2 linked regions of the Lonchura striata genome follow. The protein of the gene in region 1 interacts with the protein of each later gene in a pairwise test. Links are inferred from orthologs where the notes say so. Each region holds a gene or a part of one and is shown on either strand. Other genes may lie near its edges.

What was found. The genes of interacting proteins can lie anywhere in the genome.
Region 2: the proteins of LNX2 (region 1) and tubulin beta chain interact in a two-hybrid assay, tested with the Homo sapiens proteins (3 studies listed by BioGRID and IntAct). The link is inferred for Lonchura striata from reciprocal best matches to the Homo sapiens genes LNX2 and TUBB.

The regions. Positions count from the first base shown.
Region 1 is NC_134604.1:69,173,315-69,180,447, reverse strand, and holds the start of LNX2 (ligand of Numb protein X 2), read right to left. Parts: upstream 3,083-7,133; 5' UTR 2,893-3,082; intron 1-2,892. Other genes in the region: protein POLR1D, read left to right, coding at 3,671-3,696.
Region 2 is NC_134631.1:1,344,456-1,351,741, forward strand, and holds the start of tubulin beta chain, read left to right. Parts: upstream 1-4,259; 5' UTR 4,260-4,416; coding exon 4,417-4,473; intron 4,474-7,286. Other genes in the region: MDC1 (mediator of DNA damage checkpoint protein 1), read right to left, coding at 125-3,074, 3,956-3,969. UniProt on the Homo sapiens protein: Tubulin is the major constituent of microtubules, a cylinder consisting of laterally associated linear protofilaments composed of alpha- and beta-tubulin heterodimers.

The DNA of each region.
Region 1 (7,133 bases):
GCCTGTAGTACTGCAGAGCACATTGCAAGAATGAAGCCAGGTCAGGTACAGCACCGAGACCCCCTGTAACACAACACTGGGGCTGGGGACATCTCCACATGTGTCATCAAGGTGCAGCCCAGCCCCATCAGCCACCTACACTATCTCATACAGAATACAGAGTAGTCAGTATGAAAACACATGACAGGTTCAGCCCATGAATTTAGCAAACATAAATCCCGAAAACACTTACATGCAGGCTTATCATTAAGCCTCATTGCAAAAGAACTATCTGGATGTTTAAAATCAAGCATATGCAAGCATAAATATCTACAGAATTTGAACAAAAAGAACACAAAAAGTACACTCCATAATATTATTAATTTTTACTGCTCCATAGATACCTTAACCTATCAATTATATAACTTAATACTAATATTTTAAAGCATTTTCATCTTCAAAAGGCACTAGAATTTCTAAAGGACAAACTCCACTGACCTAATAAAGCAATTAAACAGCATGCAAGTCAATGGCGTCACATTAAAAATGCTTCTGCAAACCAAATCAACAAAGAATTTCCAAATACCAGAGAAGCCACTGCCATATCAAATAGACAACCAGCTTCCTCTGGTGCCTTTTACACCAGGGAGCATTTTAACACGAAATAAATGTTGTTTTCTCATTAGTTACAGCCGTTCGTGTCTAGTAGCTCTTTAAACAAACAACATTTTGCTGATGCAAGGCAATAATTTGTATTTATTTAACATCTAGTACACATTTCACTTTGATATTGCTGGTATAACTTCTTCCCAGTTGCTTTCAAATATATTAACTTTTTTTTAGAAGTACAGAAAAATGAGATTAAATAAGAGGGGGGTATTTTGGCATATTTTCAGACATAGTTTTAACTGGTAGCTAACAAACTTCTGCTGTTTTTTCGTAATATAAATATATTACTAAAATATATATCCATAAATATATACCAAGATTGAGACCGCTCAGTATGGGTAAAGGCTTACAAAAAAAGAAACTTTCACTGAGGTGATTAGTGCTTCCATGGTAGCACATAATAAACAAATGCCAAATGTTGCAATGCCAAAGCCACCATTTTTGGCAGGACAGGTTTTAGTAAGCTTATTTTTTAACCCATCTCAGGAGAACAGTATTTTTCCACCCAATCACCTGCTTACATTCCTCTTGCAAAGTTTTGTCCCTAAACTGCCACATTTTTTATTGTTTTGGTAACAGAAAATTCAGGTGCAGTCTTAGGAAAAGGTACTACCTTTGCAAATCTCAGACCTGAGTCCAAGGCCCTGGGCTCCCTCATCCTGAAGTCACCAAGCAATGTAAAGGGTAAGTATAGTTAGAAATTCAGAACTGAAAACTCATGGCAAAATTATGAGTTTTAAGATCCATACATTTTCAAATTGCAACAGAACAAGCACTTTAAAACATAATATTATGACCTTTTTTATTTAAAAAAATCTACTTGGGCACAGTAGTGTTATTTGCAGCCTGATGACTCTGGAGTTAATAATTTTATATTGTACTGTGTTCAGGAGAGAGGATTCCTTAGATATCTGATAATTAGAAAAAAAGAATAATTATAAAGGACTCCTATTTAGTCTTACAGTTCTAGCAAGTACACTGATATAACTTGCTTCCATTTTAAGGAAATTTGTTTTAATAAAGACAGGGCAGCATATGGTACTAACATGTTTATTTTCCAAGTGGAAGGGACACTAACCAAAACCATCTGATGTTTCTTCATCTGATGTTTCTTCCTAAGCCTCCTTGAGCTGGATTGCAGCTTAGAATAAAGCATTACAAAGCCAGAAGAAGTGGGTAGAGGAATAAAAAAATGAGTAATTCAAAGTCTTTATCTAATGAGAGCACAGTTCAGACCAGTTCTTATTTTGAATATAAGTTTAAAAGTACTTATGATTGGAAATTTATTTCCAGAGACTATCAAATGTAGTCCAAAGCTAATCTGTCACAGACATTTTTTACTCTGCACACAGACAAAAACCAAACCCCTAAATCATGTAATTAAAAGAGGAATTAAAGGAAGCTCAGAAGTACTTAATAGATTTCTAGAGAAGCAAACAATCAGTACTGTGCATTATGAACACAGTAAGAAAAGTCACCAGGGACTACCAGATTCACCCCCACCAGAGCTCCAGGAACGGTTTTCTCAGTTAGTTGACCAAGTACTATGATTCCATCAAGAGCAATGGTAATTTTAAAGTACGCCTTGTTAAAAGTATAAAAGACGAAAACTTTTCTAACCACATTTTCAGTGCTAAGAGCTAACAAATGAGGGGACAAACCAGGGAGTGCGGGTCAGAGCTCCGAGGGCTAGCGTGAACGTTTGGAAACAGCTGCCAACCACACGGACTCAGCGGCATTTCGCAGGCAGCCCCGAGTTCCTCTGGCGCAGCTGTAAAACACACAACCTGAAACCCGCTCCTGCAGCAGGGGTTCGCTCGCAGCTGTTCTCTGCCTCCCCCGCACGCAGAAATCTGACTCCTCTCCAAGAAAGAGCTTCTTTAATGAAGCCACACGAGAGCAGCATAGGTGTATCGGGGGACCCAGAACCAGGCGCTTTCCAAGTGGGTCTCCAGCACCCGAGCTCACAGCTCAGCCTCGCAGAGACGCGCTGCAGGGGCCGCCGGGCTCAGCCCCGCCGCCGAGCCGGGGGCTCCAGGGCGGGGACGCTGCTCCGAGGATCCCACCTCAGCCTCAGCCACCTCAGCACGGCGGCTCCGGAGCTCTGCCCACTCCCGTACTTGTTGCCTGCGCAGAGCTCAGCCCGGCGCCGCCGCCCCCGCGGAGACCCCCGGTGCCGCTCGGCTGAAGGAGGCTGAGCGGGGCTGAGCGCCCGGCACCGCGCGGGGCAGGGGAGTTACTCACCGCGCCGGCTCCGCGCAGCGCTCTCCTCCTCAGCCGCGCCGGCTGCGCCCGCCCCGCCTTAGGGGAAGCAAACTCCGGGCAGCAGCACTTGGAGAACGTGTCTCGTCGGGCCGGGCCGGGCCGGTGCTCCCGCCTCCGCCCCCCGCCGCGGGCAGCGGCGCGGCCCAAGTGACAGCGGCGCTCCGCCACTCCGGCGGCGGCCCCGGGCGCGGGGCCGGCCGAACCGCAGCCTATGGCAGCGGGGCCGGGGCGGGACGCGCTGGAGCCCGGGGCCGGGGTGTCCCCGCCGCTCGCCTGATCGGCTGTGCGGAGCCCGGAGCGGTGGGGAGCGCGGGCGGGGCCGGCGCGGAGGAGGGGCCGGGTGGGGCGCTGCCCGCCCGGGGCTGCCCGCGGACCTGTCCCCGCCTGCCCGAGCCCTGCGGCCGCGCCCAAGGAGCAAACCCAGGGCGTCTCCGAGACTGAGAGCCCCAGCGGCGCTCCCACCCTCCCACACTCAGTCACCGCCCCGCGCCTGCTTCCCCCGCCCTGCCGGCGGGGCACGGGGGTCCTGCCCGCCAGGGAGCCCACCGCCCCGCTCTCCTTTTGGCGGGGGGCGCGACCACCGGTGCCGCAGGTGCCCGGCGGGGTGTGGCGGGGCCCGGCTCGCCCCGCCCCGGCTCCTCCCGCCGGGGTCCTCGCCGGCCCCTACGCCCGCCCCGCTGCCACGCCCCCCGGCCGACCGCGGGTGATGGCGCCGGCCTGCCCCTGAGGAGCCGCAGCGGGGAGCGGTGGGGCAGCCATGGAGGAGGACCCGGAGCTGGAGAGGTAGGGGGGAGCGACAGCGCGGGGAGCGGTCTCGAGAGCGAGCGGCCTCCACGCGGCTGCTGCGCCGCTCCGGGCCCGGCAGCGCCTCCCGCGCCGCGGGGCCCGGGCAGCGCGGGGCTGCGGCCGGCCGGCTCCCCCGGCCCGAGCGCTCCGCAGAACCGGCCCCGAGCTCCGCCGGGCTCTGCCCGCTGCCCGCAGACAGCCCCTCCTGTGGGCGTGCGGCCAGGGCGCGCCCCGAGGGCAGCGCGGCCTGGGGCTGCCTCTGCCGTGTCTTCCGCACAGAGCTTTGGGTGCGTGCTGATGTCGCTTAGAAACAGGATTGGAAGGTCTTGGATGGTTCACCCCTCATTAGCTACAATTTGATGAGTTGTGGACTTGGCAAAATAAATTTTAAAAATCCCAAAACACCTTGTGTTGTTAGAGATTTCAATTTTCAGTTGTGCCCTTTGACTAGTTGTTAGAATTGTCGTGTTCTTGTATGAGAAAAATACAAAATGGTTGGTAGTTATTTTGTCAAAAACTAAAACTGTTTTCTATTTGGCATTTCGTTGGAACCAGTGGATTTGTCTTGCTGCACGTTTTGAGTTGCAGTGCTCTCAAGCAAACACTGAGGAATAAAACATTGATTTCCATATTAGGATACTCAAAGTAGGCCTCTCTTGCTTTTGTTTTAGGAATAGACTTTTGGTGTTTATATCACAAATGTTTTGCAAAACAGTGCTATTTGTTTGATGGGAATTTGTTTTTGCAAGCTTATTTCTGGGTTGTTCATTTTCCTTACGGCTGTTTAAAACAACTGTTACAGTGAAGTGATGACCAGAAGCTTTCTGAACTGTTCTCATGGTTCTCTCCTTTAACTTTTAAGAAACCGTATCTGGGAATGCTTACCGAAAATAACTTTTTTCTATTTGTATCTGGCAGGTATTTGAAATGTGCCAAAAGCAATAGTACTGAGACAGTGGAAGGGCTAGAGCGCTTAATGCTTTCTAAGAGGCTTTTAATTCTTGCTGAGCTGTTTCTGTTCTCAGATCATTAGTTTAATAATTAAAGCTTCTTTTGGTGTATGCATGAATGTTATTTTTACTAGTGCCATTCTAAACTTAAACCTTTTTCATTCATGGCAAGTTGAAACCATGCCACTGTTCTTCCATGCTGTCTTCTGGTTGCTGCTGCCGTGCTGGGGGCCTGGGGTTCTCTGGGCAGTTCAGGGCATAGCTGACCTCACCAGCTGTAGCCAGCTGCTCCACAGCCACCTCCTGACTGATGCTCTTCTTCCCAGAAACTACATTTGAAGTTTTACCTTCCTCAAAGGCTCACTCCAAGTTAGGATTTGCTATTCCTGTTCTGTGGCAGTGTGGTAAATAATGAGGATGAAGCTCAGTGTCACTTGTCGAAGTGGCACGGTAGGGTTTAGCTGTTTGGTGTCACCAATCTGTGTCACTGTGCACCTCAGAGGGTGTTTAGTCGGCCCCAAACACATTATAACTACAGTGTAGTGCACTTGACAATTGGCTCTTCCTGTCCTCGATCCACCTATCATCAGTTACTTTTTCATACCTTAAGTTTTCATGACAGCTTACTTTGATAGTAGCACCCTGAACTGAATTCAGTTTGTGCTGTGTGCATTTAGAGGGTGTACTTTGGCACTCTAAATAGTGCTTCACTGTACAGTCTTCAGTACAGAGCCCTTCCAGTCTAACAGAGATCTTTCTTTATCCTTTGTGTTACAGATGTTATGTCTTAGATTCATACTCAATAACATACTGATCATATCATCCTGTGAATAGTGTAGTAATGGCAGTTTAGGCTTATAATTTTTAAGGGTTTTGTATTATGGGTTTAACATACAAATAATAGTGTTTCTGTTCTGTAGCCATAGTATTAATTCCTTTAGTGCATTTTTAGTGTTCAAAAATGGGTTTATGTGGAATATTTTGAGAAGTCTGTCTCTGAATCCAGGCTTGTCTTGCAATGCAGACTTAAATAAAAATTCAAGGTTTTTGTACATGTGCTTTTTATTTAATTAACCATGAGGGAGAAAGAAGCGTAATATTTTTGTGCATGCTTTTTCAGGTCAGAAATTAATTTTGTGTCCCAGTATTCCAAAAAGTGATCTGTTAAGTCAATCGCCCTATATTTTTGTTACTAAGAAGTCTTTTCTTCTAGCTTCTTTTATTTTTATCCTTACTGCCACATTTCCCAATATTATTTTTCAGTTTTACTGTTTCTGACTCTCACTTGATCTTGCTTTTGATGTTTTCCTCACTTTAATATGAAGTGAGGTTTTCCTCGAAGCTGAGTACTTATAAGTTCCTGTGTGACTGTTGCATACAGAATGCAACAGTCTGTGGGTTTTAAAACTCTAAAAGCTATAAATACCACAGATGTGTAAAACAGTAATATTTGCTACATTCTACTGAACTACATCCTCTACTCCATCTCACCCAGTAACCTCTGATGGAAGAAGTATGAACTAAGATTTTCCCCTGTGAACTTGCTGGTACATCAGTGAAGACCCTGAGCCTTAAGGTTCCATGTGATTCTTAAGAAAATTCTAAATTATGTTAGCATATGATTAATGGTATTTGAAGTTATGATGTAAGAAGGAGGTGGAAAAAGGGAATCAGCTAGTAGGAGCTGTTCACTTTCTTTCCTCTGCAAGCACCTGAAACTGCTTTTCCTAGTTTATTTCAACTAAATATACACTGAGATATTATGTAGGTCACCATTTTCATTCCTGCATAAAAAATGAAATCTTTCTTCCCCCTCTACTTCCTAAAGTATTGCCATTGTGGTTCTGTATGTTTGAAGCACAGAAGATGCGTTGTTTCTCTTCAAATACAGAGGAAGTGGCTTTGTTATACTGTGTGTCCATATCCTTCCATAATCCATTCTGTCTTTCAATAGCTATAAACATTCCACAACCTTGGATATCATACTTTATTAGAAGTACCTGCCAAGCTTATTTATAGCATCATTTACTTGGGATTAAGTGTTTCCTAAGGAGATGCTGCTCTGAGTCACAAAGAATGCTATAATTCTGTAACAAGAGGCCTCTAGTTGAGTTGAGAATCAATAATCTAATATTTTTGCTTCATAAGGCAGCCCAACTACACTTTTTGAAAAGCAAGCTTTGTGCCTTGGAGAAAATTAATGGTTCTTACTATTGATTTTAACAGTTGAAGTCAAGTGTCAGGATTAAGTATTCCTTACCCCTGGTGAAAAGGGGGGAAAAAAAGAAAAGAAAAAGTGGTATGCAAGCTAGGATTGGTGTTTGAAATGGAGTGATACGTTCACTTTGCTACTCAGACCAGTGAGAATATTAGCACAGAAATGTGCTGCAAATAACACTCACAAGACTTGGCAAGTAGAATACTTAAATAAGTACAAAACCTGATCAGCAAAGAATGAGAGCATTTCTATCCCCAGTGTGCGAT
Region 2 (7,286 bases), on another chromosome or scaffold:
CCAAAGCCCACTTGGGACTTCCCAAAATCCAAAAAATCCACCTGGACCCCCCCCCAAAATCCCTTTGGAGCACCCGGAATTGACCGGAGACCCCCAAAATCACCTGGAACCCCCCCAAATTCACCTGCAGGGTGAGTGGAGCTTCTGCTTCCTCCTGGGTGGGGCTTGGGGGATCCCCAACATCTGGATTTGGGGCCTCTTGCTCCACATTTGGAATTTGGGATTCCTCCGGGGCTGTTTTGGGGCTTTCTGGGCATCCCACAACTGGGTTGGGGGGCAGGAACAGCTGAGTGGCCACATCTGGATCGAGGTCAGGGCTCCCCAGCTCCTCCACATCTGGATTTGGGGTGTCCACCTCCACATCTGGAATTCTGGGGACTTTTGGGGCCGTTTGGGGTCTTTTTGAGGCTGCCACATCTGGATTTGGGTCTGCCTGCTCCACATCTGGATCAGCATCCCCCAGTAATGTCCTGTGGCTCCTCAGTGACTCCTCCACATCTGGATTCAGGCTCTCCAAATCCACATCTGGAACTTCAGGCGAGTTTAGGGGACTTTTGAGTGGTTTTGGGGACCCAGTATCTGGATCTGAGGGTCCTTCCCCCTCCACATCTGGATCAGGGGGCAGAAACAGCTGGGTGGCCACATCCAAGTCCTCCTCCACATCTGGATCTGGGTTCTCCGCCCTCACATCAGGAGTTTTGGGTTCATTTGAGGCCACTTTGTGTTGTTTTGGACCCAGAACATCTGGATTTGGGCCAACCCCCACATCTGGATGTGGGGGCAGGAACATCTGCGTGGCCACATCTGGTTCCAAGGAGGGCAGCCCCTCCACATCTGGGATTTTGGGGTCCTTTGGGGCCATTTTGGGGCTTTCTGGGCTACCAACATCTGGAGAGGGCAGGAACAGCTGGGTGGCTACATCTGGATCTGACTCCTCTTCCTTCTCCGTATCTGGAATTTCATGTAGCTTCTGGGTAATTTGGAGTTGTTTTGGGCTCCCAACATCTGGATCTGCCTCAGCCTCCCCCACATCTGGATTTGGGGGCAGGAACAGCTGGGTGGCCACATCAGGATCCCACCCTTCCTCTTCCTCCTCCACATCTGGAGTTTCAGCCACATTTTGGGTCCTTTGGTGCCTCCCAGCATCTGGATTTGCGGGGTTCAGCCCAACATCTGGCGTTTCGGGCACATTTTGGGTAATTTTCTGTCTTTTTGAGGGCCAAACATCGGGACAAGCCTCATCCTCCTCCACATCTGTGTCACTTTCCACCACCAAGGCTCCACATCTGGATTCAGAGCCTCCAACAGCTGGATTTGGAGATGGTGTGGGCACATCTGGAGATTCAGGTACATTTGGGGTCATTTTCCGTCTTTTTAAGGGCTGAACATCTGGACCTGTCTCATCGTCCTCCACATCTGTTTCGCTGTCCACCAGCAATGTCCCACAGCCCATTTTTCTGCCTGAAACATCTGGATTTGGCGTTTTCAGCCTCACATCTGGAGTTTCAGGCACGTTTGGGGCTGGTTTTAGTCTTTTTAGGCATCGAACATCTGGTTTTGCCTCCTCTTCCACATCTGTGTCGCTGTCATCCAGCAGCACTCTGTGCCTCTGGGAGCCCTCCACAGCTGGATTTGGGGGCTGTGTGGGCACATCTGGAGTTTGGAGCATGTTTTGAGGATTTTCCCATCTTTTTGAAGGACAAACATCTGGATTCCCTTCCTCCTCCTCCACATCTGTATCACTGTCCACCAGTAGTGCCTGACACCCATGTTTGGTCACTCCAGCATCTGGATTTGGGGTCTGTGTCACCACATCTGGACTTTCAGGCACATTTTGGGTCATTTCAAGCTTTTTTAGGGTTTCAACATATGGATCCTCCTCCACATCTGTGTCACTGCTGTCCACCAGCATCTGATACCTGATTGTGGGGCCTGAAACATCTGGATTTGGTGTCCCCCATTGCACATCTGGAGTTTCAGGCACATTCTGGGTCCTCCTGAGCCTTTTTGGGGGCTGCACATCTGCATCTTCCTCCACATCTGTGTCACTGTCCACCACCAATGTGTGATGACCAATTTTGGGCCTTTCTGCAGCTGGATTTGGGGTTTCCACATCCACATCTGGAATTCTGGACACATTTTGGGTCCTCCTGAGCCTTTTTGGGGGCTGCATATCTGGATTCACTTCATCTTCCACATCTGTATCGCTGTCTACCAGCAGCATCCAGGAACGGAGTTTTGGGCCTGAAACATCAAGATTTGGGGCCACTGCTGCCACATCTGGTGTTTCAGGCACATTTTGGGTCATCCTGAGTTGTTTTGGGGGCCGCACATCTGGATTCTCCTCCTCCCCTTCCACATCTGTGTTGCTGTCCGCCAGCATTGTCCAGTGTCCAGTTTTGGGCGTTCCCACAGCTGGATTTGGGGTCTCCACTTCCACATCGGGAATTCCAGGCATGTTTTGGGTCACTTTGAGCCTTTTTTGGGGTTGCACACATGGATCCTCTTCCACAACTGTGTCACTGCCCACCACCTGCATCCCACATCGCATTTTTGGGCCAGAAACATCTGGATTTGGGGTCTTTGCTACCACATCCGGAGTTTCTGGAACGCTTTGGGTCATTTTCAGTCGTTCTGGGGGCTCCACATCTGGATCAGCCTCCTCCTCCACATCTGTGTCACTCTCCACCTGCAGCATCCCACACCCATTTTTAAGCCATGGAACATCTGGATTTGGGATTTTCAGCCCCACATCTGGAGTTTCGAGCACATTTTGGGTCATTTTAAGATGTTTCGGGGACCCAACATCTGGATTTGGCCCCTCCTCCTCGACATCTGTGTCACTGTCCACCAGCAACATCTGGTGCCCATTTTTGGCCTGCAGCACATCTGTACTTGGAGTTTCTGCTGCCACATCTGGAGCCTCCAAGGCATTTTGGGACACTTTGGGCATTTCGGGGTCCCCAGCATCTAGATCTGGCCCCTTCCTGACAACGTCTGGGGTGTTTTGGGGGTAGGGAAGGTGTTTTTGGGGGCCCTCAACATCTGGGGCCACAGCTGGATCGTCAAGAGCTCTGCAAAAGAGGGGTTGGGGGGGGGCTTCAGGTGTTTGGGACCACCCAAAATCCCCCAATGATCCCAAACATGACCCAAAGAACACCAGAAACCTCCAAAAATGCCCCAGGGACCCCAAAACCCCCACAGAGACCCCCAAAATGCCCCCAAATTGCCCCAATGACCCCAACCCCTTCCCAGAACCCCCAAAATGACCCAAAACAGCCCCAATCTGTTCCAGAGACCCCCTAGAACTTCCACTGCCCCCAAATCCTCCTAAACCATCCCAGGACCCTCCCAAACACCCCAAATTCTCCAAGGAACCCCCCAAAAATCACCCAGAGACACCCAAGCTGCCCCCAGAGGACCCAAACCCCGGCCTGGGACTCCCCAAACTGCCCCCAAAAGACTCAAAACAAACCCAGGGACCCCCCAAAACTCTCCAAGCTGCGCCCAAATGACCCAAAATGCCACAAGGATCCCCCAAAACTGCACCTAAAAGGCCCAAAACCCCCCCGGGGACTCCCAATCCCCCCTCAGGAACCTCAGATTCTCTCACAGAACCCCCAAAGCCCCTCAGAGAGCCCAGATCTCCCTCAGGAACCCCAAATCCCCTCAGGAACCCCAAAGTTTCTCTTCGGAACCCCAAACTGCCAAACCAAGCCCCCAGACTTCGCTCAGGAAGCTCCAATCCCCGCCAGAGCCTCTCCCAGTCTCCCTCGGGAACTCCCCCAAACCGCCCCCGAGGCCCAAAGTCCTCCCCAAGGGCCGCTCCAGCCTCCGCTGAGACCCCCAGATCCCTCCAGGAAAGCCCAGATTCCCCGCGGAGCCCAGAGCCCCCCGAATTGCCCCAAATTTCCCTCAGGGCCCCCCAAAAGCGGCCCCGACCCCTCCCGCTCACCCCTCCCGCGGCATCCCCGCCGGGCCCCGCCCCCAGCGCTCCCATTGGCCTCTTCTTCCGCGCGCCAACGCCGGTCCGCGCTTCCCATTGGCTGCTGTGCGTGTCCATCATCGCCCGGCCACAGAGACGGGGCGGGGCGGTCCTCCGGGAGCGCCGGAGCGTCGCAGGGAGGGGCTGAAGTGAGGCCGTAGACCAATTGGAGAGCAGAGAGCTGGATTGACGACGAGATTGACCAATAGAAGGATGGAAAGCGGGCGGCACCGACCAATGAGAGCCGCGGCTTTGTCCTATATGAGCGCGCGCGGGGCCGCGGCTGCCGCCATTTTCACCGCTGTCGCGCTCGCGCCTTTGCTCCGCTCTTAAAGGGGCCGCGCCGCCTCTTTAACGTTTTTTAATTCGGTTTTCCGAGCGCCTCCGCGCCGTCCGGGTGGGCCCGAACCGCCCCGTCAGACTCCGCCGCCATGAGGGAGATCGTCCACATCCAGGCGGGCCAATGCGGCAACCAGATCGGCGCCAAGGTGAGCGCGGCGGGCCCCGCCTCTCTCCGCTGCCGCGGCGGCGTGGCCCCTTTAAGAGCCCCCCCACCCCCGCGCGCCAAGACAAAGGGTGACCCAAAGCGGGGCTATTTTACCCCAGAATCGCCGCTTTCCCGCCGCAGAAGCGCCTGCGAGGGAGGGGGCGGTGATGGGTGGGGGGGATTTGGGGGGAAAATGCGGAGATTTTGTTGCCAAATGAGGATTTGCGGTGCCGAACGCGCGCCCCCCACACGCGGCCGCAAAATGGCGGCTCAGGGCGGCGGCCCCGGACCGCGGCCAATTCGCCTCCAAAATCGCCTTTTCTGGGGTGCTTTAAGGAAAAAACATTATTTTTTCCCGGTTTAAATGACTATTTCATAGGTTTGGCTATGAATGCGGCTTTTTGCCCCAAATCCAGAGGGTCTAGCCGAGGATGGGCGGGGAAGGCGCCAAAATGGCGCCGAAGAGTTCTGAAATTAAAGGATTTAACCCCAGAATTAAAATTTCCACTATAATATTTTTCATAATTAAAACATCATTTGTTTGTTTTTCTTAAACTTCTTATTTTACATGCCCCTTTTTCAGACTGAACTCGGTTGTTTTCACCCCATAACTGCGTATTTTCGTCCTTAAAATCCGCTATTTTCACGGCAAAACAGTCCAATTTTACCTCAAAAAAATGTGGATTTTGTGCCCCAAAATGAAGATTTTTGACCCCCAAACGGGGCGTGACGCCCTGAGGGGTCAGACCTGAGAATGGGAGGATTCAACCCATAAAAAAGCGGCTTAATACCTACAATAAATGTTTTTAGTCCCTAAATAACAGGCGTGTTCCCAGTTTTTTCTAAAATGAGTTTTTAGGTTTTTTTTTTAATCCGCAAAGTGAAGATTTTTAAGCTTCACGATTTTATAACAAGAAAAGTTCTTTATTCTTTAAATGTGGATTTTGGGTCTTCAAATTGAAATAGTCATTCTTAAAATTAATGTTTTTCTTCCCTTGAATCAGCCTTCTCTGAAATGCCGTTTTTACCCTTTAAAAGGGATTATTTAACTCTCAGAAAGCAAACTAAAATGTTAATTTTTTTATTTATGTGATTTTTTTTTCATTGATTAGAGTTTTTTTCCTGCTGCTGAAATGCATCTTTTTGGCACCAAAACATTTTTTTTTTCCCAGCCCCAAAATGGAGCTTCGGAGCTCCAGCTCAGCATCTTTGTTTTACAAAATAACATTTCGCTCCAAAATCAAAATTTCTATCCCCAAAGTAGGGAGTTTTGAAGAGAAAAAGAGCTGGGTTTATTTTCTAGAAGCTGATGTTGGGTTAAAATCGGCATTTTCTCCAGCTCATGGGGAGTTCCAGCCCCAAAATGGAGGTTTCCAGCCCCAAAATGGAGGGTCGGGGAAAGAATCGCAGCTTTGTGCTTCCGAATATGCTTTTTTTTTTTTTTTAACCTCAAAATCACTGCTCTTTCTCCAAATTTAATGGGTTTTATTTAATTTACCTTTTTTTAAGCACAAAATGGTGATTTTTGCACCAAAAAAGCATTGTTTAGGCCTCGGAATTTGCAATTGTTCGCATCTGCTTATCATTTTTGCTGCTTCAAAAATCCCTTCTTTCCCCTGAATATAATCAGCCCCCAAATGGCTGCTTTTAGACTCATATTTAATTTTTTTTCTTTATAGAATGCCTCTTTTTACCCTTTTCAGCTTCAAACCCGTCTCTTTGTGTCTGCAGACTGCATTTCCTGCCCCCTGAGTGAACATTTCCATTTTCAGCCCCATGCTGAAATCTTTGTTCTCCAGAACGCCTCAAATTTGAGTTTTTAACCCCAAAATGCGATTTTTTTTCTTTTTAGCACTGAGAAGAAGGTTTTGAACCAAAATTCTGATTTTGAGGTCCAAAAAAGATTTTTTATTCTACAGAAAATATTGTTATTTAAAAGGTCAAATTTGCTCTCCAAAATTACGGTTTAGCCCCAAATCTGCATTTTTCCACCCCAAAATTTGCAACTTTTACCTTTAAATATTCTATTCCCCCCATAATCCATATTCCTCTCACTAAACTCTCAATTTCAATCGCAAACCAATGGTTTTCCTCAAACTTTGTAGTTTTTAACCATGAGTTTCCCAAGGCTCCAAAATGCAGAAATTTTTTACCCAAAAATACTGAATATTCTGAATTAGATCTTTTAAACTAATTTTTCTTTTTAATTTGCCCAAAATACCCATTTTTACCCCAAATTAAAATTTTTTTGAGCCATTTTTTCCTACATTCCCCAAAACTGCTCTTTTCCTAACCTATTTGTCTCATCACCCCCAAAATCACTTAATTTTTAGCCCATTTTCACTCTCAAACCCCCAAAATGCCCTTTCTCATCTCCTAAATCAGCCTTTTAAAGTCCATCTTTCTTTTATTTTTTAACTCACATTGTTAATTTCTAATGCACTTTTCTCTCCCATCTCCAAAAATAAGGTTTTTAAACCCTTTTTTCTTCTCTGGCCCTAAGTTGTGGGGTTTAAAATATATTTTTCCCTCATGCCAAAACTGCAATTTTTATTTAGAATCACCATTTTTTAGCTCTCTTTTTAAATTCAAAATCCAAAAATTACCAGTTTTAACCCAAATTAATATTTTAACTCAATTTTTCTCTCCACGTTCCAAAAATCCCCATTTTTGCCACATTCCTTTTACCCCAAAATTGCCCTTTTTTCACTTCATTTATCCTCATGTTTTGTTCTCCCCCAGCCCATTTTAACCCCAAACCCCCACATTTGTAGAATCTCGCCTTCAAATGCAAAACTTGGAGCCCCCCAAGGT